Linked DNA regions of Arabidopsis thaliana. The protein of the gene in region 1 interacts with the protein of each later gene in a pairwise test. Each region holds a gene or a part of one and is shown on either strand. Other genes may lie near its edges.

Region 1 (4,421 bases):
ATTTCGATGAATTAGAGTCCGATGAGCCATTTGTCTTCTCCTCTACTCACAAACATCATGCTTCAGGTGAGTTACGATTCTGTTTTCTGATGTTTTGTATGTTCATCGTTTGGTTCTATGTCTCAAAGCTTTGAACTTTATCCATGGCTAGGCTCAGCATCAGATGGGAAGAAGAAACAGAGCAGTCGGTACAAAGGAATCAGAAGAAGGCCTTGGGGAAGATGGGCGGCTGAGATACGTGATCCAATCAAAGGAGTTCGAGTTTGGCTCGGGACTTTCAACACAGCTGAAGAAGCTGCAAGAGCTTATGATCTTGAAGCTAAGAGAATCCGTGGAGCCAAAGCTAAGCTCAATTTCCCTAACGAATCCTCTGGAAAGAGGAAAGCCAAGGCTAAGACTGTGCAACAGGTAGAGGAGAATCATGAGGCTGATCTTGATGTGGCGGTGGTAAGCTCAGCGCCTAGTAGTAGCTGTCTTGATTTCTTGTGGGAGGAGAATAATCCGGACACGCTTCTGATTGATACACAATGGCTCGAAGATATCATCATGGGCGATGCGAATAAGAAACATGAACCTAATGATAGTGAAGAAGCCAACAACGTTGATGCTTCTCTGCTTTCTGAAGAGCTTCTTGCTTTTGAGAACCAGACCGAATATTTCTCGCAGATGCCTTTTACGGAGGGAAACTGTGATTCCTCAACGTCTCTGAGTAGTCTCTTTGATGGAGGCAATGACATGGGTCTATGGTCCTGAACGGTTCTATTGTACAAATGACATGAGTGTTTTAAATGAGTTCTTCTTCGACTTGTCTGTTTGCTATTTATTCTTCAAACCTTAGCCAGTGTCAAACAAAAACGGCCACTACGACTATTGTTTTGAAGATTGCGATATTTTAAGTTGTAAGAATGTAGAGAATAATGTTTGGGAAGAACAAAGCTCGATTCATATTTGTGATAAACGCAAAATATAGATTCGATTCAAACAAAAAGGTGCAAAACATCTAAGGGTCTTAAGAGAAACAAGTGAGAAGAAAAAACAGTTACGGTTCGATAACTCTTCAATCCCAAAAGTAACAAAAAAGCATGTCTATAACCATTAAACCATTGAGTAAAGGCTATCAACTTTACTCCCAACCAGCAGCTGGTGCCCCTGAGGGTGGCGCGGCAGCTTCCCATCCACCATCTGCCGGTGCAGCTAGAACAGCAAAATAAACATAACATTAGAATCAAGATCTGTTAGAATAGGGTTCAAATGGTTATCAAAAACTCACCAGCGGAATCACTCCAAGAAGCAGCAGCAGGTGCAGCAGAGATTGGTGCCTGACCTTCTCCTGGCCATGCAGCATCAGGGATCTGAGCGGTGGTCCATTGGTCTCCACCTACCATTCCATATTCTGGAGCAGGAAGTGCACCATATTCTGCCTGAGGGCCAGCTTCATCTTCATCCTCTGGCTTAGTCTCCTCAGGTTCCCTGTAAAAGAACAGGTCAACCTGCACAACACCATACCATATGAAAAATTCAGTCAATAAACAGGGAAAGTTTTTAATGAACAGATGCCTTTCTAATCTAAGAGCTCCAAGAATGATATTCTTACCATGACATCCCACTTCTGTCCAGCAGCAATGGTTCCACGCATCTGAAGGACCATGCGAGCCAGAAGCCAGAAAAGGCACCCAATGCTGTGCTTTCCCTTGTTGTTGGCTGGGATACCAATGTCAACAAATCTCATTGGAGAGTCTGTGTCACAGAAAGCAATGATTGGAATGTTTCCCAAAGCACCTTCCTTGATAGGCTGCAACACACACAAGACATTTATCAATAACAAAAATCATTAATCAATCACTAGTATATGAATCATATGAAGAGTTTACCTGGTGGTCAGTTCTTGGGTCAGTAAGAATCAACAGCCTTGGTTCACTGAAGGATGTCTGCATCTGATTGGTGAAGGTACCAGGAGTGTGTCTTCCAGCAATGGCATTGGCTCCAGTGTACTGAGCAAACTTCAACACAGCTCTCTGTCCATAGGGCCTAGCTGACTGGACGATGATGTCCTGTGGGTTCTCAATGGCAACAATAACTCTAGCAGCCATCTGGAGCTTTTCCCATGTTTTGCCAAGGTTGAAGATGTAAATACCTGAGAATGACGAAAACTTCAAAAACTAAGTTCCATACTCACCACTTACAATTGTAAATTACAATAAAAGAGCAACAATAACACACACTAGCACAAATACAATCTCAAACATCAGTCAAAACTAAAATCTCAATTTTTTTTTTTTTACAAACACACAGAGAGAGATAGAAATGAAACTTGAGCCTTTGATCATTTGTTCATACATTTCTGTAAACAAGAACACTAGAGAAGACACAGAAACAAAAGCCTTTTCTTAGATACGAACGCAGAGAAGTGAGCGTGCTGACAAAAACGGCTAGTTGCAACATTTTATCTTTTCTCAGTCAGCGACATATTTAGATCCGTCGTGAGTAAAATCTACTCTCGATACAATAAAACAACCTATAAATCCAAAAACCATCTAAAACAAAGCAGCATAAACCAAATAAACAGATCATCAACATTTATACAAATCCGAAATATCAACACAGAATCTCAACACTATAACCATCAACATACATACATACAGATAGTTTATCAAAAAATATACGAGAAATTACCATCGTTGCGTCTCTTGAAGACGTAACGCTCCATCTGGTAATTGCAATTCTTGGTTCCAAGATGAACCTCAGCGGCACACATCATCCTGACATCAGCTTCCTTCTGAGAGAGCTGCGCTGAGCTAGCAGATCCATTAGTCGCCATTTTCTTATCTCTCTTCTTCTTCTTCGCCGGGAACTAATCGCCGCGATAAGCTTTTTTCACTCAGTAAATCACACGAAGAGGCGACGAAAGGCTTATAAGGGTGAAGGATTTTATATATCAAGCAAAACCCTAATTTGCAAAATGTCTATTCTACCCCCAAACTCGGTTACCCAAATTTTAATCGAAGCTAACCAAAATTAATAACTGGTTCAACTTCCGTTTTGTCTTAAACCGAAATCCAAGTGTGCACAGAGACACAAAAGATAATTTCTTTTTCTGCTACTTTGAAGTTAGAAGAAGAACCCTAACAATAATCTCTCTTCCTTTCTCTTCCGATCGCATCTTCTTCAAAAATTTCCCACCTGTGTTTCACAAATTCCATGTTTATGAATTCTTCATTGCTCTATTCTTAGTCACCTTTGATTTCTCTCGCTTTCTATCCGATCCAATTGTTTGATGATCTTCTCTGTAACAAGCTCATAAGGTTTCAATTTCTCTAGCTTTCTTAAAATTCATTCTTCGATTTCTTCAATTCTCGTGTCTTTTTTATTTCTGTATCGTTTATTGACAGTACCTAGACAGGTTTGAGCTTCATCTCTCTGGAGAGAATCCATGGGTGTCTCGTTTAAGATATCGAAGGTTGGTAGAAAGTTTCGACCTAAGATTTCTACTGAATTGGCTACTCCTGATTCCCCAAAAGCAATCGTTCTATCTGGGAAACCAAAGGTAATTTAACTTAGAATTTTAGTTGTATTGTGTTCCAACTAAATTCGCTTATTTTGGAAAGTTATATAGAAAATTTATTACGTTTGGTTCAGGCCACTGATGATAGCAATATTGGCGATGTTTCCGGGTTTTCGAAGCCATCTTTACCCGATATATCTCCAGGTTTGGATCTCAACGAACCACTTTGACACATAATGTTTTGCTAAATTCTAGCTATGTTGAATTGAGTGCATTTTGGTTTCTCTGCAGATCATGAAGTTTCCTTCATATTGAGCCTCTATCCAAATGGGTACTCTATAGGAAAAACCTCTGAGGTATGTACTGAGAGTCTATATGAATTTATTTATCTTGTGATTTCTTGTATTTGAGTTTTAAAACCTTCACGTTTTCACAAATTTGAGTTTTTGAATACCAGGCTATGCAACAGATATCGTTTCGAGATGTTCCAAAGGTCTTACATCCGTATGATAGGGCAGCAGAGGGTCTCCTTTCGGTAAATCTTTCGAACTATGTTATTATAGACTTGATTTGAACATGTAATCAAAGTTTTGGTGAATGAATTCAAAGTACTTAGATTTAGTAAATGTGAAGATGATGTTTTTTTTCCCCACTTGTTCTACCCGAATAATGCATTTCACTGCACTACTTACTCGCGTTTTGTTAAATACACTTTCTGAGTTTCATTCTACTGAGTAAATGTTTTTAATCCCTTTGTACGCTTTATAGGCTATTGAGGCTGGCAGGCTTCCTGGGGACATTTTGGAAGATATACCTTGCAAATTTGTGGATGGGGTGGTTATATGTGAGGTGAGTTATCTGCAATTATTTTTTGGGATAAAGCCTTCCATAAGTTCTTGGAAACAGTCCAAACGTATAT
Region 2 (3,914 bases), on another chromosome or scaffold:
GATTGTGGCAGGGATATTCGCCATTGGGATCTCCTGGAACAACGTGGGTGAAGGCCGATGTTTTAAAGAGTCCGGTTATTGAAATGATTGCTAAAGAAATCGGGAAGTCTCCCGCACAAACCGCGCTTCGATGGGGACTTCAAATGGGTCATAGTATACTTCCCAAAAGCACAAATGAAGGAAGAATCAGAGAGAACTTTGATGTCTTGGGATGGTCTATTCCAAAAGAAATGTTTGACAAGTTTTCCAAGATAGAGCAGGTAAGTGAAACAATAAACCACATTTCTGCAAATTTCGTATCTGTGAGTAGTCTTAACTGTAACCTCTTGTATTTTGGATTTTGAATCATCTCTGTGCAGGCTAGGTTAGTCCAAGGCACGTCGTTTGTTCATGAGACGTTGAGTCCTTATAAAACACTTGAAGAGCTTTGGGATGGTGAGATCTGAATCAAAAGATGTCTTTTGTTGAATTTTAAAGTTGAAAAAGAACAAAGTTCCACTGCTTTAAGCTTTGATCGAGAATGTGTAAACGATTCAATTTTCAATAAAAGTAGGATTTTGCAGACATATTAACAATCTCTTATGTTCATACAGTAAATCACTAATCCGAGAGGTTGATGATAGATAATCTAACAGTTATATTTGAAAGAGAAATATAGACGAGTATTAGACTGTAGATAGAATCTGATTCCATTGGCCTCAAAGCCTAATAATTATCTTTAATAAAGCAGAAAAATCGAAAACATGAATTCGCATAAAGAGAAACTAACATTTTCAATTCAATGACAAAGCCACATAGCTAATAAATCGAAACCTCAAAAAACAAACAAGAGCTTATGACATTGTCAGATTGTCTCTCACTGTTGTTTAGCTTCGACCTTCTTCTTCTGCCAGAGCCTGTCCACGCCACTGTCTGCGTCTCCCTGCAGATGCAATCATAATGTCAATATACATATACAATCATGAACTTTGTTATAACAACTGTGGAGATGATTATAAAGTAATTAGCAGAGTGGAAATTCACAAACCTGAGCACGGACAAATCCGCAGAGAGCAAAAGTGGTGAATTGGCCAGTGTAGAGACCATTAGCATCAAGATGACCAATGTTAAGCTGAACTGAAGCATGATCCTTTGATGTGATCATTCTGTTTGTTGCCGAGCTAAACAAATTACCATTACACAACAATAGAATCAGCTTAGGCTACTTAATTAAGACAATTAGCTTAAGATTTTAATCAAACGTTACACAGAGAACAAAGAGAGCTGATATATACCATTTCCTTGGAATGTAGAGCTCTGTGACCTGACCTGCGTCGTTCTCCATTTTTGAGATTTAGCTTCAAAAAAAAATCGATCTGAGCAAGTAAACAAACAAAAAAACTAATCAGATGAGCAATAGAACCTCGAATTAAGAGATTCATCAAGAATAATTGATCACATTCAACAATAATATATAATCAACAAAAGACACAACGAGATAACTAATTCTGAAATCGAAACCTAGATTATTCCGATGCGTTAATTAGCAATACAGTGAAAGGAGATTAAGATACTACGGAGAAATTCTCACCTGCGAGGAAGAAGAAGAATCTGAGAGAGGTTTGGCGGCGACAAAGATAGGGTTTGCTTAATTCATAGGTTTATTAGATTTATAGTAGCGAGCTAGGGTTTGCTTATTTCATAGGAATGACTACTATACCCTTCAACTTTTAATTGAAGAGCAATAAAAACCGATCCAATTAGAGCGGTATACAAAATTAAATCAAACCGAAATACTAAACTTTTTCAACCAGAATTGTACCGACAGTTAATTGTAACCGGAATCGAACGTAACCAAACCATAAATACTGGTTCAGTTTGGTAGTAACTTAAGTTCATTCAATTTGATAACAAACTTTTATTATTGGTTCAAATGTTTGCTTCATGGATGAATTTTTCAGATTTTCTTGCATACTTTTTCCCAAAATGGTTTGTGGTAGACAATTGAGAATGATACACATAAAATGGTTGACAAGTTTGTTCTCTGTTTTGTAATAATGAGGAATTCAGTTTTTCTTGTTTGTGAAATTTTGACTCTTTATCGAAACCCTCTCAAGAACCTGAAATCACACATCAAAAACAAAGTACAAGAGACACAATATATAATCTAACGATTGTGACTGTTAAAGTTTAACAACTCATACAAGTATCACTTCACCCAATGTGTTTCTGTCCCGAAACTGCGGTCTCCAGCGTCTCCAAGCCCAGGGATTATGTACCTAGTTCATGACAAATACATAAGGACATTAAAATACAATCGCCAGTTTTCATATGGAAAGCCAAAGAACCTAATGACTTACCCCTTTTCATTGACTTCAGGATCAATAATTCCAGCATATACATGAAGCCTGAAATGTTTCAAATAGTAGCCAAACAGTTTAGTAAAAAGAGAGTTAACTAAATGGTAAGCAAGGTGAGAGTTGATCTTTTGCTATTGATTACCCGGGGAATTTCTCGTTAAGCTTCGATAGTGCAGGAGGTGCAGCAATCGCACAAATCTGTAATCAGAAAAATCAAAACAATTAACACTTCGATTTCTGACAAAAGCTGTTTCCTATATATATGCTTACCACTTTGATTTGCTGAACAGACAAACCACGTTCCTTCAATAGATCCATCGCCGCCATTATGGTACCACCTAAAATACAAGTTACTAAGTTACTAAACCTACGCTTCTAGCTATGAAACATTCGTATTACCATGTCATGCGTTCACATTCACATATTATCGTGTACATTTGAACATCAAACCCTAACTATACTTCTAATATGGAGGTGGCTAAAATGATAAGACTTTCTTACCTGTGGCAAGCACTGGGTCGACCAAAAATACTCTTGAATTCTTGGGAAATTCATCAGGCAACCTAAAGAAGATGTATCAAAGGTGTTATTATAAACACTTCAGTAACTACAAACACAATGCTGCAGAGAAGTTCTTACTTGTTAAGATACACCGATGGTAAAAGTGTTTTCTCATCTCTACTTACTCCTGTAAAAGAAAAGAAGCACGGGGACATCAATAAGCTATTTGATAAAAGTTTTCATTTTTGACATCCGAAGTTCAGGCAAGAGATGATATATAGCTAGATTACTAACCTAAATGATAAATTTTATTAGCAGGTAAAACTGAGGATGCGTGTTCCGCAAGAGCAAGACCAGCTCTTAATATCGGAACAACCTACACAGAGACAAAACCAAGAATTAGAAACGCTTACATGTAAGGTCGAAAAGAAAATATAGACAGGAAGAGTTTGAGGGATAAACAAACCGCAATAGGCTCTCTAGGATCAATGAATTCAACAGAAGCAGGACCCATTGGAGACATTATTTCACCCACAACAGTTGGCTTAACCGCATAGAGCAAAAAACAAAAAACAATAAGCAAAAAACGGGTAGGAAGAATTCAAGAATAATAGAGATGTGAAATTCTACGCACCAGCCACTCTCGTGATGCTTCATACATGAGTAATCTCCCTAGTTCAGCTATTGCATTCCCTAGATAATTAAAAAAACTCAAGCTTTAAAGATCAACACAGACTTATACTAGTAGCAAACCTAAAAAAACTCATATTCAAACGCAATGTAGCAGATAACACCAATCTAAGAGCTAAAGATTGTCCAACGAATCAAAAAAAAAAAAAAAAAAAATGGATGTAAAATTCAGTTCTTTAACAACAAACACTGGTTAAATCGCAGAAATACTCATAAGAATCTTATCTACTCACTGAAAACAGGACAAGGAGTTTGTTCATTTCTCAGAACAGAGATCCAGTGTTTGATCAAAGGATGTGGTGGCACAAAGACCTGAAACACCAGAATCAAATTCACATCTTTCACTTTCAAATCAAACTCAAAAAAAATCTGAAAATTGAAATC

Evidence for each region.
Region 2: the proteins of P40 (region 1) and AT3G53890 interact in a two-hybrid assay, tested with the Arabidopsis thaliana proteins (one large-scale study listed by BioGRID).

Annotation. Positions count from the first base shown.
Region 1 is NC_003070.9:27,242,025-27,246,445, forward strand, and holds P40 (40s ribosomal protein SA), read right to left. Parts: upstream 2,908-4,421; 5' UTR 2,819-2,907; coding exon 2,674-2,818; intron 2,135-2,673; coding exon 1,872-2,134; intron 1,793-1,871; coding exon 1,595-1,792; intron 1,491-1,594; coding exon 1,271-1,490; intron 1,195-1,270; coding exon 1,124-1,194; 3' UTR 821-1,123; downstream 1-820. Other genes in the region: ERF73 (Integrase-type DNA-binding superfamily protein), read left to right, coding at 1-66, 152-753; AT1G72390 (nuclear receptor coactivator), read left to right, coding at 3,431-3,544, 3,637-3,706, 3,794-3,858, 3,960-4,037, 4,271-4,351. UniProt on the Arabidopsis thaliana protein: Required for the assembly and/or stability of the 40S ribosomal subunit. Required for the processing of the 20S rRNA-precursor to mature 18S rRNA in a late step of the maturation of 40S ribosomal subunits.
Region 2 is NC_003074.8:19,954,726-19,958,639, forward strand, and holds AT3G53890 (Ribosomal protein S21e), read right to left. Parts: upstream 1,725-3,914; 5' UTR 1,571-1,724; intron 1,356-1,570; 5' UTR 1,325-1,355; coding exon 1,275-1,324; intron 1,161-1,274; coding exon 1,028-1,160; intron 923-1,027; coding exon 857-922; 3' UTR 619-856; downstream 1-618. Other genes in the region: AKR4C11 (NAD(P)-linked oxidoreductase superfamily protein), read left to right, coding at 12-260, 360-446; UPP (uracil phosphoribosyltransferase), read right to left, coding at 2,189-2,258, 2,340-2,387, 2,482-2,537, 2,610-2,677, 2,841-2,902, 2,979-3,027, 3,135-3,216, 3,307-3,384 and 2 more.